5 linked regions of the Ovis aries genome follow. The protein of the gene in region 5 purifies or fractionates together with the protein of the main gene of each other region. This does not show direct contact. Links are inferred from orthologs where the notes say so. Each region holds a gene or a part of one and is shown on either strand. Other genes may lie near its edges. The genes, in order: NAPA, NBAS, USE1, RINT1 and BNIP1.

Region 1 (5,055 bases), on a different chromosome or scaffold from region 5:
CATCAGTGTGAGCTGTCACTGTTAACCTCCGTCACCTGGTTGACAACGTTTGTCAGGCTTCTACACTGTAAATGTAGCGCCTCCGCCCCCAACACCGTCCTCTGCAGATGAAAGTCTGTGCACAGTCTACATGAAGGAGTGGAGTCATGTTCCATCTTGAGAATGGAATATCCACATAAATTATTTGGAATTATGCACAGAATATTTGTTTATTCTCCACCATTTATTTTTCAGTCATTTATATCAGCATGAGCTCATGGAGATTTTATAGACTGGGTTATAATCAGGTGCTACTTTGTTGTTCAAATTGTTGCAGCTTTGACTATTGGGAACTCTGAGCTCATGGAGATTTTATAGACTGGGTTATAATCCAGGGCTGCTTGTTGCTCAGATTGTTCCATCTTTGACATTGGGAGCTCTTTCGGTTGGCTCTTGTCTCTTTGATATACCTCATCGTGTGTGTGTGTGTGTGTGTGTGTGTGTGTGTGTGTGTGAGAGAGAGAGAGAGAGAAAGAGAGAGGGAGGGAGGGAGAAGGAGATTCATGGTGTGTGTGGGGGTGTGGGGGTGTGTGTGGGAGGGTGGAGGCAGAGAAACAAAGAGATGGAGGCCAGGAGACTTACCTTCTGGAACTACAAGACCTTCCAGGCTCATCCTGTGCAGTGTCCTAGAACCAGCCTTTTATCCAAGGAGCTCTCGTTCCTTTTGTTGGAGAACAAAGAGTATTAAAAACTAAGATCTGGGCGCTAGATATAATTGAACCTAAATTTTTAACAGTTTCACTAGCTTTTTTTTTTTTTAAATGAAACCAGCGTTAGACAACCTCTGCTCCCCTCTGCATACCTCTAAGACATTGCAGGTTCAGTTCATAAATAAAGCCAGACACATGACTTTCCCTTTGTTTCCCAGTGCATGTAAGTTATGTTTACACTATGTGTGTATGTGTGTCAGTCGCTCAGTTGCATCCGACTCTTTGAGACCCCCATGAACTTTAGCCGGGCAGGCTCCTCTGTCCAAGTAACTCACCAGGAAAGACTACTTCAGTCTATTAAGGGTGCAGCAGCATTATTTTAGAAATGTATAATTTAAAAATATTTTATTGCAAAAAAATGCTAATCATTATCTGAGCCAGTCTTAATAATAACATCAAAGGTCACCAATCACAGGTCATCCTAACAAGAGTAACAAAAAACTTTAAAATATTGTGAGAATTATTAAACGTGGCATTGAGACACTAAATGAGCCAATGCTGTTTGGGAAACCGCACAGCTCTGAGAGAACTGCTTAATGCAGGATTGCCACAAACCTTCAATTTGTTTTTTTTTAAAGTGTATCTTGGAAGGGCAAGAAAGCAAAGCACAATAAAATGAGATATGCAGCCTTCTCTGGTCTTCCCAAACCAATTTCAGCATAGGTCGACAGAGGGCGCAACAAAACGGAGACCGCTTTCCTTCTTACCCACGGACGCCTTTCCAAGTGAAAGAGACCTTCAGGAGGTAATGAGAGGAGGCGGGGACTAAGCTCTGCGCAAAAGAGCTGTCAAACCCAGTCTTCCGGCATGGAGCTATCACGTGACGATTAGGGATCAGCTGACTAGGGTCTAAATTCCGCAGGGAAGTCAGACGGAGCCAAAGGCTGAAGTTGATTGGTGGAGCAGGAACAAGCCCAGGAGGCGGGTCCTTGGCGCTGAGGGCTACGATTGGCTTGTGCGGAATCACGTGGGTTATCAACCAGCGCACCAGGCACCCTAAGACAGATACATGCGCATGCGTTAAAAATTGGATCGCTGATTGGAGGCCGTGAATCACGGGGCGGCGTGCCTCGGCTGGAGAGGGCGTGGTCTGCGGTGCGCACGCCGCGCTACGAGGCCGTTGGTTGGCCAGCTCGAATCACGTGGTTCCTGGCCGCAGGAGGCGCGCGCCGGTGCGACGTCAACGCAGCCCACTAAGCTCCCCCGACCTGTCTCCTGCGACCCGGTCGTATCTGAGTTCTCCGAGGGCAGGGCTCCGGCGGTTTGCTGAGTACTTTTGCGGCCGCTATGGACAACTCCGGGAAGGAGGCGGAGGCGATGGCGCTGCTGGCCGAGGCGGAGCGCAAAGTGAAGAACTCGCAGTCTTTCTTCTCGGGCCTCTTTGGGTAAGAACCGCGCGCAGGGGTCGGCCGGGACCTCGGCTGAGAGGACGGAGGAGTCATGCTCTGGGGCGGCGGTAGAGGCGAAGGGCTCGAGCCTAGAGGACGCGGGGGTTTGCGGGCTTACGGGCATGGTCTGAGGCAGCAGAGGGTACAAGCCATGGCCGGGACGCCGGACTGTGGCACTGACAGCGTGATTCGAGGAAAGACTGTCCGAGACTGTGGCAGGGCCGTGGGCTGAGGACACCCGGGCCGAGGCGAAACCATCTGGAGGCAGGAAGGGGCCCCAGGCTGGAGACGGGCCAAAGGGCCAGGGGAATACGGCCTCAGGCCTTGAAGGGAATGTGGCCTGCGGGGACCGAGGGAGCCTGGAGGGAAGCCAGGCTAGGAAGCCTTTTGGAGCTCAAGGAGAGCCTGTTTGAAAGATCCCAGACGGGAGTCTTGGGCCCTGAGACTGAGGACTTATGCCTGAGGGCGTCCCTTTTCCGAGACCTGGGGTGATGGACTTACGTGAACTCTGGCCCGGGCGTCAGGGCTAAGATGATCCTACGATTGATGGACCCAGTCTGAATTGCGTGAAGTGTCTCAGGTGAATATGGCCCAGGTCACAGGTGACTAGTGTAAAGAGACCTGACTGCCAAGTGAGATCTGAACAGAGGAAGCTCTGGGGTGATGGAGTGAAGGCCGAAGAGGGCTGGGAGGCTGGAAACTAAGTGGGAGTGAAGCTTGGTTTAGGAACTGGTGGGATAAAAATGAAAGATGAGGGAGATAAGAAAACCTAAGGGGCCGGAGGCCTGCTGTGTGATCTTTGAGTAAAGATGGGGCATGCAGTGTGAGCAGAATGAGACTGGCATGCCCAGGTTAGGGCTGAAGGGGGCTGGGAAACAGAATCAACACCTAATGCTTGTGGCAGACATTTCACATGAGTTCATGTTGGCTCATAAGAGTTGTTCTGATGACTGTCGTTTGAGGAATTTTAGTGGCTGAGGAGGATCAAAAGCTCAGGTCAGAAGCCTAGGCTCTGCCATTTCTTGACCTTGGGCAAGCTGTTTAACTTCCCTTATTATGGGGAAGTGGTGTCTCAGAGAAACCTGTCTCAGGCATTTGCCACTAGTATTGAAGTAGGGCACGCGTAAAGGGTGTAGAATTGAGCCTGGGACGTGGTTATCACTCTGAAAGTGTTAGCTACCATCAGTGTCATTTCCGGGAAAGAAACAGGTATGGAGCCTGTTCGGGACTGATGGGGATCAAGGTGGGGGTTTGATGGGCGGGACTGATGGGGATCAAGGTGGGGGTTTGATGGGAGAAGTGGGAGGGGGGCTGTCAGAGCAGGGAGAGGCGATGTGATGAGTAAGGAGTTGAAAGGGGTTGGGGAAGGAATTCGGGCCATGGGGACTTGATAGGGTTAGGGGAAGGGGCTTGAGACCTCCGGTGGAGAGAGAGCCAGGGAGGACTGAGGAACGTTGTGTTGCTCTTGAAACTGGGAGGAGAGCTGCAGGGGAACAGGCGGGTGTGTAGAGAGTTAGGAGGAACTGTGAGGAGGGGCCATGGAACCTGGCAGCAGAGAGGCCAAGGCTGGGGACGGGGTTTGCGGGGGAAGACTGGGGCTTTAGGAGAGACGGTGTTAGGAGGTTGGTAAGAAATGAGGAGGAGGGTTCTTCCCCGGAGAGGAGATGGGAACCGCTCATTGTTACAAGTGGTGGATAATGTTTACTTATCCACCGCAAGAACTTGAGTAACCTGGCTGAGACCTCGCTAGTGTGGAAAAACATCCGGGGCTGATGGACTGTATTGATTAGGTGAGGAATGTTTTCTTTCAGAGGCTGAGAGTAGGGAGAGCGTGTCTGTGTTTCTGCTTCCTTCACAAGGGGAGAAACTCAAGTGCAGTGCTTTGTGGTGGGGCCAAGAGCTTAGTTTTCAGTCAGGTCATGGTTTTACTGGGTGGCTTTTGGTGTCTGGTCCCTGGGGATTAGTGTACTGTTGGGCCATGCTTGGAAGGAGCAGCCAAGTCAGGGCCTGAAACACTTTGTCACCTGGCTGGGAAGGCAAGATGAAGACTTGCTAACACACTAGTAAAGCAGAATTGTCACATGTGATTAAGGGCTGCATTTTATCATTGGTGGGAGGTTCCTGACCTGAGAGGAAGCTGCATGAGCTTAAGGAACTCCTTGGTGAGGAATGAGCTGGGCCCCTGGGAACCCTGGGACATGCCACAGGAGTGGGGACTGGAGAGGGTGTTCCAGGCAATGGGAATTGTCTGAACAGAGGTCTAGGGTGAGGGGAGGTTTGTCCAGAAATGATGGGGAACTGAGATCCAGAGAGACCAGGGCTGGCTCCCTGTGGGGAGAAGCCTCCACCTGGGAGGATGAGCAGGAGTTCCGGGGGTGCTCTCTGGTGGGAGAGCACAGCTCCCAACAGAGGAGGCAGCTTGAGCAAGGCCCAGATGTGTGAAGGCCAGCGTCTGAAGGTTTACTGCAGGGGGTTCTGCGTCAGCCCGTAAAGGTAGAACAGGCAGAAGGGGATGAGACTAAAGAACCAGGCCCCATCCCAGAGGGCTTTTTGAGAAAAGGCTTGGATTTGTGGAGGTGCTGGAGAGCACTGAGGATTTTCGTGGCCTTTTTAGGCTGTTCAGACTGCTGTAACAAAATACCATCAGCTCAGTACCTTATAACCATCAGAAACATATTTCTCACATTTTTGGATGCAAGAAGTTCAAGGTTGTGGTGCTGACAGGTCTGGTTCCTGGCGAGGGCCTGCTGCCTCCCAGACGGCTGTTGTTTCACTGTGTCCTGCTGTCTTTTGTAAGGGCACTAATCCCAGTCACGAGGGCCCCACCCTCATGACCTAGTCACCTCCCAAAGGCCCCACCCACCTCCTCATATCATCACCCTGGAGCTTAGGATTTCCACACACAAGTTTTGGCAGGG
Region 2 (4,791 bases), on a different chromosome or scaffold from region 5:
GTTCCAGGAAACAAACTCACTCAGAGAACAATGCAGATAGTGGAGTACAGTTTATTACACCAGCGGACCCAAGGCAGTCTCCTTTTAGCCAAGGACCAGTTTTTGTGAAAACCTCATATACGCTAAGCGTAGGTGCCCAAACCCACCTCCCCAAATTTCCTGAAACTAGTCTGAACAAAGGAAAAAGAAAGATACAATCAAAGTTAACCTATGATTCATTTGCCTTAAGCCTGGGTAATTAACAGTGGACACTGATCAGTAGGCCTGAGGTCATACCGCAATAAGCATAATAGAATGTATGATTCTATTCGGTTACACAGATAATTAGGGTATTCTTTTAGGTGACAGAGAGTCTAAGTACGAGCCCTGGGGCTCTTCCTTCCAGGGACCTGGTTTTCCAGTTGGTATGTCGTTTCCATAGATACTGGGCATATAGCTCGAAGTCCACAGTCCAGCCCAAGATGGAGTCTTGCTTTCAAGACAGAGGCTGTTCTATTTCCTCCTTCACTATGGCTCTTTGCGTCTTTTCCCAGCTTCCTGGCTCGTGCTCTGCACACTCTGGGCTCAGCGAACAATGAGATACAGCGAGACACCTGGACACCGTATACTTATACAGGTTGTGCGTCTCTGCTCACAGTGCAGGGCTTTTCTCAGAGAGGCACTTGTTGCACGAAGGAATGACTAAATGAATGAACAAATAAGCCTAGACCTGCAAGTGGGTCCTCAACCTATTATTTCAACTTTTTTGCCCCTACGCCCTTTCTTGGCTTGGTTTCTACTCAGCTGCTTGCTCTTTCAACTAGATATTTCTGCCTCTGTCCTTATCCCATTTCCCCCTACTTGAAATGCTCCCCAAACCCTCTGCTCTTGATTCCAGCTTTATCTGTTAAAGACTTCATTTCCTCCAGAAAGCCCCTCTAGACCCTCTGGCTTTTTCTGAACTCCGATAGCCTCATTCTCTGATACCTTTCTCAAAACTTTTGGCCACACTGTACAGCTTGCGGGAACCTAGTTCCGCCACCAAGGATTGAACCCTGGGAACCCACAGCAGTGAAAGCCTGAGTCTTAACCATTGGACCAACAGGGAATTCCGGTGATACCTCTCATTCGTTTAATCTGTTGCACAGGATAGCTTTCCTGTGTTTATTAAAAAAAAACAAAAAACAACAAAAAAAAACCAGTTTGCCCTCTTTGTATCAGTTAGGCAACGCATACATAAATGGCAGAACACAGGGTGTTAGTCCTCGAAGGTCTTTGTAGGTCTTCATAGAATGGCTCAGACGGTAAAGCGTCTGTCTACAATGCGGGAGACCCGGGTTCGATCCCTGGGTTGGGAAGATCCCCTGGAGAACTAAATGGCAATCCACTCTAGGACTATTGCCTGGAAAATCCCATGGATAGAGGAGCCTGGTAGGCTACAGTCCATGGGGTCGCAAAGAGTCGGACACGACTGAGCGACTTCACTTCACTTCATAAAACCTTTCAACTTAAGCTTTTTCCACGTTAGAGGTTGGGGCATAGACTTGGATTCCTGTGATGATGAATGGTTTGCCTTGGAAAGGATCTCAGAAGATAGTTCTATCACTTTCGTTTTATAGAAGCTGACGGGGTAAGAGAGGTTGGGATGTGGCTGATCTCATGCAATTAATAAAGAGGGAGCGTACCAAGACCAGAATGTAAGTTGTACCGCAAGACAAGCGAGAGGTTGTTCCACCTACTCAAAGAAGGGTTTCAACTCAGCATTTCCTTTCCACCCCGGGTTAACTCCACCCCTTTCCCGGGGAATCAGAGGCGGCGTGGCCGCGGAAGCTTGTCCGCCGCGGCTTGCCGTAGTGGCCCGGCCCCAGCACTTGGTGGGGGCAAATATGGCGTCCTCTGAGCCATTGCCGACCGTGAATCCAGGCGCTGCGGAGGGCGAGGAGGAGACGATACTCTATGACTTGTTGGTCAACACCGAGTGGCCCCCGGAGACGGAAGTACAGGTGAACCAGGCCCCGCCGGGGCTGCCGCCAGCTGGGTGCCGGCGCTGCCCCGGCAGAGACACGTAGCCGGAGCCACGTAGGGTGATGGAGCCGGGCTCCACCGCTTGTGCGGTCGTCTTGGCAACGGCACCGCGAGCTAACGGGGGCCCGGGTCCCCCAGGTGGAGTTTCTGGCATGCTTCCTGGACTCCTAATTCGGCTCTCGGGGTGGGGCGGGGGGCGAAACCTCGGGCTCTGAGGCAAGTACTTTACTACCCCGGTTCTGTTTCACCGTCCCTACTTGGAGGGGAGGCACAGCGTTGGACTCGGGGGTCCTTCCCTCACCTAGACCCTCGGTAGTCCCTTTACCGGACCGGCTCCGGCAGGGCTGCTCCTCACCTGCTGTGGGAGTATTTTCCAGGACCCTGCAGTCATCTCAGCATCTGCTGGGCTGTCATGGAGCGCGGCATAAACCTTTGTTCCTATCTGGACCCGAGTTGTGTCAGTTCCTGGGTTATTTAAGTAATTAATGAGTGTATGTGTATATCTGTCCGTGTTCCAGATACTGTGAGGCGCTGTGCTTCCGAAGTGAATAAGTTTGGTGGTACTTGCGGTCTTAGAGGGAAGACAGTGTAGTAAACTTTTTCATCACCTGCTGTAATATGCACTGTAATAGTGATGTGAGCAAAATGCCCTGAGGAGTGAAAATTTATGAGGACCCGGGGTTGGGTTCTTTGTTAGAAGTGGGGTCCTAGGTGTTGGTAATCTAGACCTTGGAGTCAGTAGTTTCAATAGAAAGGACAGTAGGTCAATAGAAAGGACCTCTCAGGCACAGGGTGGAGATAAGAAGCAGAAACCCGCATTTATTAAACGTATTTACTGAGTGCCTAACGTGTGCCAGTTGCTGTTTTAAGATCAGAATATGCAGCAAGGTGGGAAAGGAGTTTCGTTGAGGATCATGGGCTCCAGCCCATACGAATTCTTATTTACAATCTCTTTTCTGAGTTTTTCTTTCTTTCTTCTTTTTTGGCTGCTGAGTTTCTTTAGTGGAGAAAGTACTGCTTCTCCTGTAAAGTTTATAAGCTTTTCTTTAACCTCCTTCCCATTGCAGTTTCTGTCTTTTGGAATATTTTGTAGGCTAGCAGAGATCCTCATGCATAATTTAAAAAAAGTATTTACATAGTTTCTGTTTGTGTCGAACAATTGATATTTTGTATCTTACGTAGCTGGAAAGTTGCTGCTGCCACTGATTGAATAGGATACCTTTCCACACCTTAGCACTCACTGGTTAATTACATAATGTTATAGAAATGCTTCACATTATAAATTGGCTAAAGAAATATGTACTGCATCAACTTACATTGAAACCTCATAACACTTTTTTTGTTTGGTTCTATTGATTTTAACTGAACTACAAGCTCTTGAAAGTCAGCTACATTTGACTCATGTTTATATTCCTTCCCCAAACCAAATTTTGTCTTCTGCAAAGTAAATGATGGATTCATGTTTGTTGAATGAAATAACTTTTTTTGTGCTTTTAAGCCATATCTGCCTGCACTTTGTGACCATTAGGACATCTTCCAGGTTATAGTGCCTAGTATTGTTTAACCTATGTTTGTTCTGTACTTAAGGAACTATTTATATAGCAGTTATGTATCAGTGTGGCTGTTTGTAGTAGTTTCTCTATGAATATGCAGCTAATGTTCAATAAATTTGCTTTGGGGCATGAGTTTATTGATCCATATGATCGCTTTTTCTACAAGCAAAACCCCTTTTAGGCCTCTGTAGGCCTCCAAAATAGACTGTGCCAACTGGCAACCAGTGTGGGTCTTAGACCTTGACTTTTTTTGTGTTTGCACTGGTGCTTTGATTTAGAAACATTTTCCAACCTCAATCCCTGTCCTGTCTTGCAGAATTCATCCTGGCAAATGCCTGTATCTCTGCCATGCTCACTTTCCTATGCTGCTTCTCCTTGTTTTGTTTCTATCTATAAGTAGTTTTAAAGATACTGGTAACTTGTGCCCAGTACTGTGTATTAGCAAAGAAATATAGCTTACTATATAAGTATCAGTGGAAAATTCTCAAATTATTTTTTCATTTGCAGCCTAGAGGCAACCGGAAACATGGTGCATCCTTTATCATCACAAAAGCAATTAGAGGTGAGTATAGCTTATTTTGGCTTCCCTTATAGCTTGGTTGGTAAAGAGTCTGCCTGTGGCCTAGGAGTCTGCAATGCTGGAAATCCAGGTTCTATTCCTGGGTTGGAAAGATCCCCTGGAGAAGGAAATGGCAACCCACTCCAGTGATCTTGCCTGGGAAATCTCATGGACAGAGGAGCCTGGCGGGTTACATTCCGTGGGGTCACAAGAGTTGGACACGACTTAGTGACTAAACCACCACCATAGCTTATTTATTTATGATATAGTTAGCAGATAATTTTTTCCTTATTTTTTCCTATTCTGTAACTGTGCTTTTAAGAAGTTTAGGGATTTGAAAATGTGTCCTTTTGAGTTTTAATGTAAACTCAGTTGCTAAACAAATTACTATTAATTTGCCTGATTAAAATGAGTATTAATAGCATAAATGTTACCTATTTTATAAAAAAATGCATGTGTCTTAACTATATACGTCTATGTAAGCATGTGTGTATATATACATACATACACATGGATGTATTCATATGTTTATACAGACACATTTTTTTACAGTTTATTTTTAATTAAAGGATTATTGCATTATGGTATTGTGTTGGTGTCTGCCATACATCAACAGGAATCAGCCATAGGTATACATATGTCCCCTGCCTCTTGAACTTCCCTCCCACCTGTCAC
Region 3 (4,686 bases), on a different chromosome or scaffold from region 5:
GGGCAAGGATTGAGCCCCTTTGTCTGGGAGGACTTCCATTGTTCCTCCAGCCAACTCCTATTGTAATTTCACATAAGCGAGGTGGGCTTATTTTTTTGGCTGTGCCATGCAGCTTATAGGAGCCTAGTTCCCTGACTAGGGATCAAACCCACACCCCCTGCAGTGGAAGCTTGACCGGACCACCAGCGGAATCCCTGGAAGTGCTCTTTATTGATCCAGAAAGCTGAGGAGGCAGGCAGCTCATGGCAGAGTCACATGAAGTGAGGAGAACTTTCTGTCCTGGGAGCTGCCTCCTGTCACAGCTAGCCCCTCCCCAGCTGGGGCTTAAATGTCAGCTGAAGGGGCCATCTGCCTTGGGGGAGGGGGAGTCGGTCCTGGGGGACCCACTGGAGCCTGAAGCAACAGCACCACCACCATCGCCACCAACAGAGAAGCTCCCAGGTTGCAACCAGATCGGCAGTTGTAACTGGTTGGCAGATAGGGTTTGTAGGTGTGGGGGAGTTAGGAGACCATGACAAACCTGAGTTTAAGGGACGCATGCTGAAGAGTTGGTGGTCTAGGCCAAGGCCACACAGCTGGGATGGGGCGGCCGGGGATTCAGACCCTGCCCTGTCTGGCTCATGCATGTGTGGATGTGTGCTCAGTCGTGTCCGACTCTTTGCCACCCCATGGACTGTAGCCCACCAGGCTCCTCTGTCCATGGAATTTCCCAGGCAAGCATACTGGAGTGGGTTGCTATTTCCTTCCCCAGGGGATCTTCCTGACCCGGGGGTCGAACTCCCGTCTCCTGTGTCTCCTGCACTGACAGGTGGATTCTTTATCACTGAGCCACTTGGGAAGCCCTGTCTGGCTCTAGAACCGCTCCCCGGCACCGCCCTCCGGCCCACCACCCCATCAACAACCTGAGTTTGAGTTTAGACTCATCCACAGTACTTACAGGGGACCAAGACCACTGATGTGATCTGAACACGTAACCTGAAGGATGAGATAGTTGAGGGATGTATGCCAGGCTTCATCCCCTGTGATGTCCCCATCCTCACTCGGAGGGCCCACAGAGGGAGACTCGAACAAGGGGCCTTAACTTCTTGAGGACGCGCGTGGGGTTCTGTCCACGGGGGTCTGGGCGTTGAGGGTGACCCAGCCACACCTCACGCTCCCAGGTTTAGCTCATGTCACTGCCAGACTAACCGTTTCCCAATAGCGGAAACAGGTCCAGAAAAAGTTAAGAAACTCGCAAAAGGCTACGACGGGAGGTGGAGTCAGGGTCAGGGCTGGAACCGGAAATAATAGCCCCTAAGTCTTGGATTCCGAAGTCCCAGGTCAGGGCCTCTCCTCGTGAATTCAGAGAAGACTCCCTGGATGCAGAAGGGCTCAGAGCGGAAAACTCTGGAAGGAGCGGAGAGAGGGGTAGGAATTTTGAGGGGGGTAGTAATGAGCACTTCACGCTTTGCATGTGGGTCTTCTGGCACCGAAGGACTTGATCCTTTCAACCTTTCCGGAAGGGTCAAGACACTCGCAAGAATAAGCAAGCGATTCATCCCGGAGTAAATGCAGACGGGATGGTGTCCCGCATTGAAACAAGACATTACTTCCGCCACCCTAAACAAGAACAAGAATGGGACAGCAAACAGGGCACTTCCGACCGGAAGGAGGCCACGGAAGGCACTTCCGCCATCTCTTAAGATGGCGCCGGCGGAAGGGGCGGAGTACCACTGGGTGGTGATGGCAGCGTCGAGGCTGGAGCTGAACCTGGTGCGGCTACTGTGCCGCTGCGAGGCGATGGCAGCGGAGAAACGGGACCCGGACGAGTGGCGTCTAGAAAAGGTAGGGAATTCCGTGTTTCCTCGTAAACCCCGAATCCAGGAGAGTGGCCCCCGCAGCTAGAGGCCACCGGGCCCGACTCCCCCGCCCCGCCAGCCAGCGTGGCCACGCCCCTTCCGGTTGGTTCCGGCCACGTCCACCTGCTGCTCTCCCGCCTTCTCCCTGAGGCTCAACTGGTCCCTCCTCCTGATGCTTGGCTCCTCCTGTTTCAATCCCGCCCCCATCCTGGCCTCGCCCCTTGCTGGCTCTGATCTCTCTGAGCAGGATGTAGGGATAGGGGGAGGACTGGGCTGACACCCCACTTTTTGTCCCCAGTACGTGGGAGCTCTCGAGGACATGCTGCAGGCCCTGAAAGCACAGGCGAGGTGAGTGCAGGCGGCCACAAGTGGTTCAAAATTGAGTCTCCTACTGGAGACCAAGAACCCTGGTCTCCAGTTCCCGCTAAGAACCTCCCCTCAACTGGGCACAGTAGGCTTTCCTTTTCCTCTTCTCCCCTTCCAGCAAACCGGCTTCGGAGGTGCTCAATGAATATTCTCGGAAGGTAGATTTTCTGAAGGGAATGCTGCAGGCAGAGAAACTGGTAAGCAGGGGCCCCTCTGCCTGGTCAACCTTCATGCTCACCTGGGGCCTGCCACTTTGGTGACTGCTGCCTTCCCGCTTCTGCAGACCTCCTCCTCAGAGAAGGCACTAGCCAACCAGTTCCTGGCCCCTGGCCGAGTGCCCACTACAGCCAGGGAAAGGGTCCCCGCTACGAAGACAGTACACCTGCAGTCACGGGCTCGGTACACCAGTGAGATGCGGAGTGAGCTGCTAGGCACGGTAGGGCTCCCTCCCTCGTCCCTGGAAAACTTCAGGTGGGGATAGGAATTTGTGCGTGGAGGTGGCCAGAACAACACTGTCCGGTGCAGGGATTAGGATACCCAACAGACAGGACCTGGACCATCAGACAAGGCTTCCCAACAGACGGGCATCGTGGCCAGGGCTTTACTAGATGAATAAGAGTTTCCATACAAGGCAAAAATGGCACATCTACACTTAAAAGCCCCAGAGTTGGCCCGAAGCAAGGTTTGGCCCCGCCTCACCACACACCAGTGAGTTTTTTTCAGCTGTGAAATAGGGTGACAGGTACCTCTATGAGCACTTCCTGTGGATCTGAAAAATACCCTTCAAAATATGAACCCTTGTTTTCAGTTTATAGATGAGGAAACTGAGCCTCAGAGGTTACAGGACTTGTCCAGGGTCCTGATTGAGGGTGGGGAGTTTCTGAAAGAGAAAGGACAGGTCTGGGGGCATGGCATGGTTGGTGATTCTGTGCCTCTCTTTTTTTCCCACAGGACTCTAGTGAAGGTGAGACAGCATAAGCAGAACAGGACTCAAGGCCTGGGACAGATACATATCCTTAGTGCCCCACATCCCTCGTGCCTAACCTGGCTCCCATAGGGTGTTTGCAGCCCAGGGAAACTGTGCCCAGGGGCCTTTCCACACTTGAAGGTGGAAGGCTAGAAGGGTGTCAGGAAGGGGCCCTAGAGGAAACAGAGTTGGACACTCCCAGCCCAAGTGACTACGGCTGGCTAGAGAGAGGACCCGGGGCCGGGGTGGGGGTGCCCGATGAGGAAGACTTCCTGCACCTGCTGTGCAACAGACAGAAGGGGAAATGGCATTGTGAGTAGCAGACACATCCTGGGCAATGGTCAGGAAGCTGGAAAACAGCAAACCAGTTCTTCCTTTTTGCCTGCTTGGCTTGTTTTGCTTTCAGAGCCCGAAATGGATGTGAGGAAGAGAACGTGAGTATCTTCAGCCCTTGGGGAGCATTGCAGGGAGAGGGGAGTTGGACAAAGGTTGGACCACTAAAGCACAACGATGAGCATTTAAACCACCAATCAGGGGATTCCCCAGTGGTCCAGTACTTAGGACTGTGTGCTTTCATTGCCAAGGGCCTAATTCAATCCCTGGTTGGAGAAAAAGACCCTACAAGCTGAGCAGTAAAGCCAATAATAATAATAAAATTAAAAAAAAAAAAAAACACTAACGAACAGCCACTTCTGAGGATGCTTTTCCCAGAAGCCAAAGTGAAAAAGGAGAAACAGCCCCAAGCAGCACAGTAGCTGGAACTATAACCTCTAGGTCCCTTGAAAACATGTTGGTCTCTTCCCTCTTTCCCCCACCCCAATCTCATACCCACTGGTCTACCCATCTGTGGGGTCAGTGGGGCGTCAGGGCCCACACCAAGGGATGAGAAGCAGTCAGCAGCTGAGCTAGACCTCGTCCTGCAGCGACACCAGAACCTCCAGGAGAAGCTGGCAGAGGAGATGCTCGGCCTGGCCCGGAGCCTCAAGACCAACACACTGGCTGCCCAGAGTGTCATCAAGAAGGACAACCAGGTATGAGGACTCTGGGAACCCTAGAGCCTCTGGTTTGGGGCATCAAAGAAGGCTTCCCAGAAGAAGGTCCCTATGGCTGGGACTGAGCTGGATGAATAGGAGTTTGGCAGAAGTAAAAAATGGCATTCCCAGAGGAGAAAACAGCACTAGGAAGGGCCAAGAGATACAGATTCGCCCCAGTGCAGTAGGAAGCGGTGACACTTGGACGCAGTCCTGTTGACACTCGCCCTGCCTCACCCACAGACGCTGTCACACTCCCTCAAGATGGCCGACCAGAACCTGGAAAAGCTGAAGACGGAATCCGAGCGGCTGGAGCAGCACACACAGAAGTCAGTCAACTGGCTGCTCTGGGCCATGCTCATCGTCGTCTGCTTCATCTTCATCAGCATGATCCTCTTCATCCGCATCATGCCCAAACTCAAATAAAGACTTGGCCTGGCCTGTGTCACCTGTGCCCTCTCTGCCCTCCACCCTGTCCAGGGGT
Region 4 (4,255 bases), on a different chromosome or scaffold from region 5:
GGCAGTAACTTGAAAGGACTTGATTCTGAGGTGCCACCTCCCTAAGTTCCCTATAGTCAGGTTCAGCTGGGCAAAGTAGATACAGATTGAAGACTAGCATTATTGACTTACCAGATGCCACCCCCATTCTCCCCTTGGATTAAGATTCTGTAAAAGACAGATTTCTTAGAAATGAGGGGTGCCTGATGGAATGTGACAGAGGAAAAGTCTGTCCTATTGGGAGAGCTGGGCAGGCAAAGGTGGAGGCAGATGTCCTGAACACAGCCCACTGCTCTTAGGAGGATGCTGAGGATTCCAGGCTCCTAAAGACTGGGGTGTCAAGTTAAAAAAAAAAAAACAACACTTTAGGTTAGTGCTTCCTTCTTCTTTTGGTTGTAGCTTTATGTAAAGCAGGAGGAAGAAGCAGTTTTCCACATTTGGAATTACTCTGAACAAAGTGTCTTTCAACTTTGCTCCTCCTTATCTTTCAGTGATAACATTCAGCAATATCTGATGACCAATAATGTCCCAGAGGCAGCCTCTACTCTGGTGTCCATGGCAGAACTTGACATCAAGCTTCAGGAATCTTCCTGTACTCATCTTCTGGGTTTCATGAGAGCCACAGTTAAATTCTGGCATAAAATTCTCAAGGACAAGCTTACAAGGCAAGGAATTTGTCCATGTTTCATGGTAATTGCTTTCAGATGGCTCTTTGATGTTCATTGTGTTTGATAGCAATACTTCTCTCACTTTTCTGTTACAGTGATTTTGAGGAAATTTTAGCACAGCTTCACTGGCCATTCATCACACCCCCTCAGTCTCAAACTGTTGGCATCAGTCGACCAGCCAGTGCCCCTGAGATATACAGTAACCTGGAGACACTCTTCTGTCAGCTTCTGAAACTACAAACCTCGTATCTTTTGAGGGGTTAAAACTTACTAAAATTTCTTTTTTCTAGAGTGGATTTGGACCAGAAAGGAAAGCTTTCTGAAAGTGGCCAAGAAGCAAAATGGGAGGAGTACTAGGTTTGGACTTACCTGTGTATGGTTATGTAGTGGGCGGGAGTGGTGCTGTTCTCCTTCCAAATAAACTGCGTGTGGGTGGAAGGGCTGTGAGGAGTTCTGAACTACATGATTGACCCAAGTTTGCATCACATATAGGTCTCTTGGGACAATCAAAAAACTGGGCAAAATTGGAAGGAAGCCTTAGTAACTTAGTGTTAATTTAATAAAATGATTATTCAAATGTGTTTCCTTACTTATTATCCTTTATCTTAGGAAAGATTAATTCTAATAACATTTCTCATGGACTTTTTACTTAAGTCATATGTAATTTAAAGTGAGATTACATATTATCTGTATAATTTCTCAGTATCATATATATCTGCTAGATAAATGTTCTGTGTGTATACATATCTATACATATATGCTTTTCTTTTTCCTTGACTTTACTATGTCAGAGATGAATTATTTACTGAGCCAAAACAGCTTCCAGAAAAATACTCTCTTCCCACGTCCCCTTCTGTCATCCTGCCCATCCAGATTATGCTGACTCCCCTTCAGAAGAGGTTCAGGTATCACTTCAGAGGGAACCGGCAGACTAACGTTATAAGCAAGGTGTGCTTTGCCGCTTCTTGCCCCGGTTTTAATTAATAGCAAATACTAAGGATGTCCCTACTTTTGCTGGCTTAAGTTAAATTCTGATTCTATCCGCATTCCTGTTTTTTCTCTAAAGAGCTAAATTCCAGTTTGGTCACTGCCCTTTACAGATATAACTTGGGACTTGTGTTGATATGTCGTTAAGAATCAGTGCGCTCATTAACACACCGTCTGACCACTTCCTCAGGTTTCTTCTGGGGTGTGCTGTAGCGTTTGCTGTGGCACTTTTTTACAACTGGATCCCCATGTGTTCCACTGTGCAAACTGCTCCTTCAGGTTTATGAATACATCAGAAAGAGAAGTGAGAGTCAAAAGGGAGCAGAGCATTAGCTTTTGAATGGAAGTGCTAATGTGCTCAGTGATTTGTAGTGGGACTTCCCTGGTGGTCCACGGTTAGGACTCTGTGCTTCCACCATAGGGGGCGTGGGTTTGATCTTTGGTCAGGGAACAAAGATCCCATGTGCCATGCAGCACGGCCAAAAAATAAAAATAAATAAGAATAAGAATTAAAAAAAATATAAAATGATTTGTAGCTATACAAGAGAGAGTATGGGGATAAGTAACAGGAATGACTTTGAGGAAATTATCACCAGCATTTTAGTTGAGGGACCACACCCAAGTGTATTGGACATCCTGTTGAGACTTTTTCTTTAATCTGCTCTGAAAATCACAGACAACTGTTTTCAGTGAAGTTTGATTGAATGTGTTGAGAATTATAACCTTGGGAGTTGCTAGGGGGTGGATACTGTGTATCCTTGAAGTCTTCCTACATGTGATGCAGTGCAAGTAGCAGAGGAGTCCTACAGAAAGTGTTTTGAATTAAATGATTTAAAATGCCTGATTACTTGGCAGACATTGTACGTCACATATAAATGAGTTTACAGGCTTTATAGAATTGTAAAGGAATCAAGGGATAGGCAGTTATATCTATGTAGGGAAGAGTGGGATAACAATGAATTTCTGGTTCTCAAATTCAGCTTGTTCTTTTGTACTTCTTGGGTCTCCCTCTCTTGGATGGGGTGTTGGTGGAAAGAAGAGTAGAACCAGTTAGTAAGTGGTAAGTGACACAAAAGAAGTCTAAACTGTAGAGAGGCAGTAATGATTTGAGAAAATTGTTAGTTCTGTTGGTTGCTTTTTAAATTGTAGTTCCAGTGGTCTAGTACTCTGACAGGAAGCCTGAACTATGCAGGCCCCGAGATTAACTGCCCCTTTTTCATTTCTGTATTCCCAGCATCTAGCACACAGCAGGGTTTTACCTTTCAGAAAATGTTTTAGAGTTCCTGTCCAACAAAACATAGAAGGTTTATAGAATCACCTCTAGTGACAATTTAAAAAAACTGCACAGTTACATTACTTTTCTGTAATTACAGCTGCTTTAAGTCTTTATATTTTTTGTAACGCCGACCAGCCAAATTTTTCTTAATTTAGCTTTTGAAAAAAAGAAAAAACAGAAGAAAGTCATGTTTAAAAATTATTTTGGAAAGTTATTTCCAAAAAATTATATAAAGGCCATCATTCTTTGTGATACTTATCTTTTACATATTTCTAAAGTGCTAGGTTTTAAATATTTATGGTAATTTAAATTCATTAGTTGACTTAAGCCACATTATTGAAATTTATTGGGAGTACATTGGGAAACATTTGATTATTAAGCCTTCTGTGAATGTAAAGTTCAGAGTCAAAACTGTGCTCTTATGTATACAAACATTTAACTAACTGTAACTTTCTAGTTGGAATGAGTTAAGAATTCAAACTGTTCATCTTCTTCCTTAGCCTGAATGGTACTTGGCTCAGGTTCTTCTGTGGATCGGGAACCACACTCAGTTTCTGGATGAGAAGATTCAGCCAATATTGGACAAAGTGGGCTCTTTGGTAAACGCAAGGGTAAGAGATTCAGTCCAAAGCATTTCAGTTTCAGAGTTGCAGGTGTCCATGAATAAGCTGTCATTTTCATTTCCTTATGCTTCTATGTTTTTTTAGCTTGAATTTTCTCGGGGACTTATGATGCTGATTCTTGAGAAGTTAGCTGCTGATATTCCTTGTCTGCTCTATGACGACAGTCTCTTCTGTCATTTGGTGGACGAGGTGCTTTTGTTTGAAAGAGAACTACACAGCGTTCATGGCTATCCTAGCACTTTTGCTAATTGTATGCATATTCTATCAGAGGAGACCTGTTTTCAGAGATGGTTGACTGTGGAGAGAAAATGTAAGTGCTCATATGCCTGTAGGCTGGGGAGAGGTATCTCTTATTGTGAATACAAAATTTTAGGTGTTATTCTTCTCCATTTCTGGGTAGAAACTAGTGTCATCTAAATTTTTCTCGGTTGAGGTTTATCAAGTTGCCTTCAGAGATTATCTTCTTTTCTTCCCATCAAGCTTCAGTTTTTCCCAGAATTGTACTCTATGTATTTCTAGGATAGAATATTCAAGCCAGGGACTTCTCTGGTGCTCCAGTGGCTAAGACTTGTGCTCCCAATACAGGGGGACTAGGTTTGTTCCTCAGGGAACCAGGTCCCACATGCTGCAACTCGGAGTTTCCTTGCTGCAGCTAAAGATGCTGCATGCGCAACTAAAAAGATACTGAGTGCCACAACTAAGACCTGGCACAGCCAAATAAA
Region 5 (4,255 bases):
CTGAGGTGGGTGGCTGTGTCCTGGGGTTTGATTATTTGGGGCTCTGAGTCTTTCTTTTCAGAAGGCCTTACCTGTGGGGCTTTCGTGCGACCTGGGTTGAATGTCTCTTCAGAGGTTTTTGCATTTGCTTTTGCCAGGTCTCCTGGGATTACCACAGGTCTGGGAGCACTTTTTATGTTTGTTTCTCCTTGTGGAGGTTCTTGAACCACTCAGGAAGGATGAACTTGGACCCTCGATCCATGTGAGGGGAGTGCCATGGTTATAATCGGGAGAGACATTTATATCCCTCTAGCCACGTCTCACAACAGAAAACTCCACAACTTCTCTGTGCTGGTTGACAGACGTTTTCCTAGCTCACCTTTTCACTGAGGGTATTTGTATCCCTTTGTGCTCCTGGCTTTGCAGTGGTCTCAGTTCCAGTTCCCAGCTTCAGGTGGCCAAAGCTTTGTTTTCTGTCCCCACATGGACTTGAAAGCCGTGTTTGCCATTCAGTCTGAAATATGTACCAAGACTGAGAGCCTGTAGAAACAAATAGCAGTGTGTTATTTCCATCATATCTCAGAGTGGGATCAGTAGGCTCCTATGTTACTGTAGTTTTTTCCCTTTTCCTTTCAGGCACGTCCTGGACCGCAGGAACGCAGGAACGCATCCCCTGCTCCAGGGCAGCCTCACACCCCTCACAGGAAGGCTGCTCTGACTCATAGTTTCTTTCTCATTTTGAGTTCTTGAGGATGGTCCTTTCTTTCTTTTTAGACAGCTTTCTATGTAAAAGGATGTTTGTTGTGTATGAACCAGCATTCCTGAGTCTTCTGTTCTAGGAGGGTTTTCAAGTGCTGTTGCATAACTGGTAGAAATAGAAGTGCTTTCCAGTTTTTCATTACCTTTCAAAATCATTTTAACTTAGAGCTGATTTCCTCCCAAAGGAGCTTGAGCAGTCGGCTAAAGAGCAAGACAAAGAGTCAGAGAAGCAAGTTCTGCTCCAAGAAGTGGAGAATCACAAAAAGCAGATGCTCAGGTGGGTGGGGCCTGGCCTCCGGCCAGTGGCCTCCGCTGGGCCCCCTGCTCCCGGTGAGGCTTGTGCCTGAGTTTGCCTAATAAACCTGCTGAAGCTAGGGGGTAAGCCGGGGCTCTTTGGTAGCTGGGACTGTGTATAGTGTACAAAAGCATATTTAACATTATGCTGTATTTTATATTTTTTTAAAAGCAAAAAATTCGTTGCTTTTGTAATATAGGGTCCTTTTTAATCTAAAGAGAATTGATAGCAGAAAAAGTCCACCAAAGGTGCCAAAATGATTGGGGACCACTGGTGTAAAGAACAGCAAACCTTGAAGAAATATTGAATAAAACTGTCTTATACTGATTTTTCTACTTCTTACTGCCTATATTGATGGAGCAGCTAATGGGTCAATAACTGTTGTCCTGGGTACTGGTGAAACAAAGATGAACAAGGCATAGTTCTCCAGGAGCAGAACCAAGCCACGCCGCGGGCAGAACAGTAATGTGTAGGAGATGACTTTGAACGGGGCCGCGTGCGCCCAGCTGGGCAGTTTGGCTGTTTCCCTTTAGTGGAGCCATTGCAGGCTGTAAGCACAGGGACGCTGTGACCGGTCTTCTCCCTCTGGCTGCCCTGGGGGAGAGGGACTGTTGTGGGTGGTAGGAGAATGGAAACAGTTTCTGGGGCAGCCAAGAAGAGGACATGGTGGGAAGGGTGACGGACTCTGGGCTACACACAGGTAGCCTCCCCATCACTCCCTGGCTGGAAGGCTACTGTGACTTGAACTGACTGACAGCCTGTCGGCATCAAGAGAAACTCACACATGGCTTTTGTAATTCCAGCAATCAGACCTCATGGAGGAAGGCTAACCTCACTTGCAAAATTGCTATCGACAACCTAGAGAAAGCAGAACTTCTCCAGGGAGGAGACCTATTCCGGCAAAGGTATGTATCTTCTTGTCTTTCTGGGTTTTGATGACAGAATAGACAGCAGTTGGCAAGGTGCAAAACCTACTGTGGGGAACCCTCTCTTGTTTTCAGCATAAAATTGATATTTTATAAGTAATTTTTTTAACTATAAAAGAAATACATTCTTGTTTTTAGTAAATTGGTAAAATTAAAATGTGAATCACAAAGTGAAAGTATGAATTGTGCTGTTCACAACTATTTTGATATATTGCCTCCTTTCATTATTTTTTCTTCCATATTTTTTATAAAATCAGCATGGTACCATATATTATCTCGTCCCATCACTTCATGGCAAATAGATGGGGAAACAATGGAAACTGTGACAGACTTTATTTTCTTGGGCTCCAAAATCATTGCAGATGGTGACTGCAGCCATGAAGTTAAAAGACGCTTGGAAAAAAACCTGTGACCAACCTAGACAGCATATTAAAAAGCAGAGACATTACTTTGTCAAAAGGTGTATATAGTCAAAGCTATGGTTTTTCCAGTGGTCATGTTTGGATGTCAGAGTTGGGCCATAAAGAAGGCTGAGCACCGAAGAATTGATGCTTTTGAACTGTGATGTTGGAGAACTCTTGAGAGTCCCTTGGACTGAAAGGAGATCAGCCAATCAATCCTAAAGGAAATCAGTCCTGAATGTTCATTGGAAGGACTGATGTTGAAGCTGAAGCTCCGGTACTTTGGACCTGATGCAAAGAACTGACTCATTGGAAAAGACCCTGATGCTGGCAAAGATTGAGGGCAGGAGGAGAAAGGGATGACAGAGAAAGAGATGATTGGATGGCATCACCGACTCAATGGACATGAGTTTGAGTAAGCTCTGGGAGCTGGTGATGGACAGGGAGGCCTGGCGTGCTGCAGTCCATGGGGTCGCAAAGAGTCGGACACGACGGAGCGACTGAACTGAACTGAGCTTTAAACATAGTCTCCTAGTCTTCACTTAGTATTATTATCTTCACAAAGATTTGCCTGTTTTTTTAAAAAGCTCTTTATAACTAATCCCCTGCTTGTGTGTGTTTATATTTCTCATTATGTCTGTATTATGAGTAACACACGAGGGCACATGTACGTAAAGCGTTGTCCACATTCTGTGTATTTCCTTTGGAGAGATTCCCAGGGATGAGATTATTGGGTCAAAGGCGTGAGCATTGCTAAGGCCCCTAACACACATCGCCAGCTGGCTCTCAGAAGGAGCACCAGTGGGCATCCCTACCGGCAGTCTTCACGTGCGTGCGCTCGCATGCCCTTGCCACCACTGCGGTGTGCTGAGCCGCTCAGTCATGTCAGGCTCTTTGTGACCCCATGGACTATGGCCCGCCAGGCTCCTCTGTCCATGGACTCTCCCAGGCAAGAATACTAGAGTGGGTTGCCATTCCTCCTTGAGGGGACCTTCTCAATCCAGGGATCAAACCCACGTCTCCCGAGTCTCCTCGCTGCAGGTGGGTTCTTCACCCCTGAGCCGTCAGGGGGAGTCCTTTGCCACCGTTAAGTATGACCATTTAAAAAACGTGCTGATTCGATAGATTAGAAGGTGGGATCTTGCTTGAATCCGGGGCTTTCTTGAGCCAGGCTTTTGTTGACATTCCTCCTCCTACTCTGTACTTCTAGGAAAACTGCCAAAGAGAGCCTGGCCCAGACGTCCAGCGCCATCACAGAGAGCCTCATGGGGATCAGCAGGATGATGTCCCAGCAGGTCCAGCAGAGCGAGGAAGCCATGCAGACGCTGGGTAAAGTCAGGCCAGGCCTGCAGTGGGAGGCTGCCGCTGGGCTCCAGGCCCTCACCCCTGGGCTCCTCCACCTCTGCCCACATCTGCCCCGCCTTCACTGATCTGTGTGGCTTCTCACTCCTGTGACAGCGTGGTCTTACCCAGTTGGGATGCACTGCTCTCATTTCCCTTTTTGGTTTTTATAGTTGTACTGAAGGATCCACACACCCCATCAAAATGTTTGGAAGAACTCCTAGGCTCTCTCCTGGAGAGTGGGTGCCAACAGTCCTGGAGGAGGGCCTTGAGAGTCTATTTTTTATCTCCGGCTCTGGGGACCCTTCTGGCCAGGCAGGGAGATGATCGGTTATTGGCTGCCAGCTGGTCTACTAGGACATCCACTTACAATTGTACTCCCCAATGTTATTTTTCCTGTGAGCTCCTTTTATTTATATATTTGTATATATATTTTTTACTTTTGGCTGCGCTGTGTAGCATGTGGGATCCTAGTTTCCCTACTGGGGATCGAACTCATGCCCTTTGCAGTGGAAGCGTGGAGTCTTACCTGCTGGACAACCAGGGAAGGCCTG

What was found.
Region 1: the proteins of BNIP1 (region 5) and NAPA purify together in Homo sapiens (affinity purification with mass spectrometry; 3 studies listed by BioGRID and IntAct, with this or other methods). This does not show direct contact. The link is inferred for Ovis aries from reciprocal best matches to the Homo sapiens genes BNIP1 and NAPA.
Region 2: the proteins of BNIP1 (region 5) and NBAS purify together in Homo sapiens (co-immunoprecipitation; 3 studies listed by BioGRID and IntAct, with this or other methods). This does not show direct contact. The link is inferred for Ovis aries from reciprocal best matches to the Homo sapiens genes BNIP1 and NBAS.
Region 3: the proteins of BNIP1 (region 5) and USE1 purify together in Homo sapiens (co-immunoprecipitation; 4 studies listed by BioGRID and IntAct, counting the BioPlex papers as one, with this or other methods). This does not show direct contact. The link is inferred for Ovis aries from reciprocal best matches to the Homo sapiens genes BNIP1 and USE1.
Region 4: the proteins of BNIP1 (region 5) and RINT1 purify together in Homo sapiens (co-immunoprecipitation; 3 studies listed by BioGRID and IntAct, counting the BioPlex papers as one, with this or other methods). This does not show direct contact. The link is inferred for Ovis aries from reciprocal best matches to the Homo sapiens genes BNIP1 and RINT1.

Annotation. Positions count from the first base shown.
Region 1 is NC_056067.1:54,244,108-54,249,162, reverse strand, and holds the start of NAPA (alpha-soluble NSF attachment protein), read left to right. Parts: upstream 1-1,889; 5' UTR 1,890-2,036; coding exon 2,037-2,134; intron 2,135-5,055. UniProt on the Homo sapiens protein: Required for vesicular transport between the endoplasmic reticulum and the Golgi apparatus. Together with GNA12 promotes CDH5 localization to plasma membrane.
Region 2 is NC_056056.1:23,955,172-23,959,962, reverse strand, and holds the start of NBAS (NBAS subunit of NRZ tethering complex), read left to right. Parts: upstream 1-1,829; 5' UTR 1,830-1,865; coding exon 1,866-1,982; intron 1,983-4,064; coding exon 4,065-4,119; intron 4,120-4,791. UniProt on the Homo sapiens protein: Involved in Golgi-to-endoplasmic reticulum (ER) retrograde transport; the function is proposed to depend on its association in the NRZ complex which is believed to play a role in SNARE assembly at the ER. Required for normal embryonic development.
Region 3 is NC_056058.1:5,651,749-5,656,434, reverse strand, and holds USE1 (vesicle transport protein USE1), read left to right. Parts: upstream 1-1,673; 5' UTR 1,674-1,683; coding exon 1,684-1,824; intron 1,825-2,136; coding exon 2,137-2,186; intron 2,187-2,322; coding exon 2,323-2,401; intron 2,402-2,487; coding exon 2,488-2,640; intron 2,641-3,155; coding exon 3,156-3,168; intron 3,169-3,577; coding exon 3,578-3,605; intron 3,606-4,027; coding exon 4,028-4,202; intron 4,203-4,445; coding exon 4,446-4,628; 3' UTR 4,629-4,647; downstream 4,648-4,686.
Region 4 is NC_056057.1:48,165,506-48,169,760, forward strand, and holds part of RINT1 (RAD50-interacting protein 1), read left to right. Parts: intron 1-470; coding exon 471-644; intron 645-742; coding exon 743-892; intron 893-1,438; coding exon 1,439-1,595; intron 1,596-3,410; coding exon 3,411-3,521; intron 3,522-3,617; coding exon 3,618-3,843; intron 3,844-4,255. UniProt on the Homo sapiens protein: Involved in regulation of membrane traffic between the Golgi and the endoplasmic reticulum (ER); the function is proposed to depend on its association in the NRZ complex which is believed to play a role in SNARE assembly at the ER.
Region 5 is NC_056069.1:5,009,353-5,013,607, forward strand, and holds part of BNIP1 (vesicle transport protein SEC20), read left to right. Parts: intron 1-923; coding exon 924-1,015; intron 1,016-1,836; coding exon 1,837-1,938; intron 1,939-3,570; coding exon 3,571-3,689; intron 3,690-4,255. UniProt on the Homo sapiens protein: As part of a SNARE complex may be involved in endoplasmic reticulum membranes fusion and be required for the maintenance of endoplasmic reticulum organization. Also plays a role in apoptosis.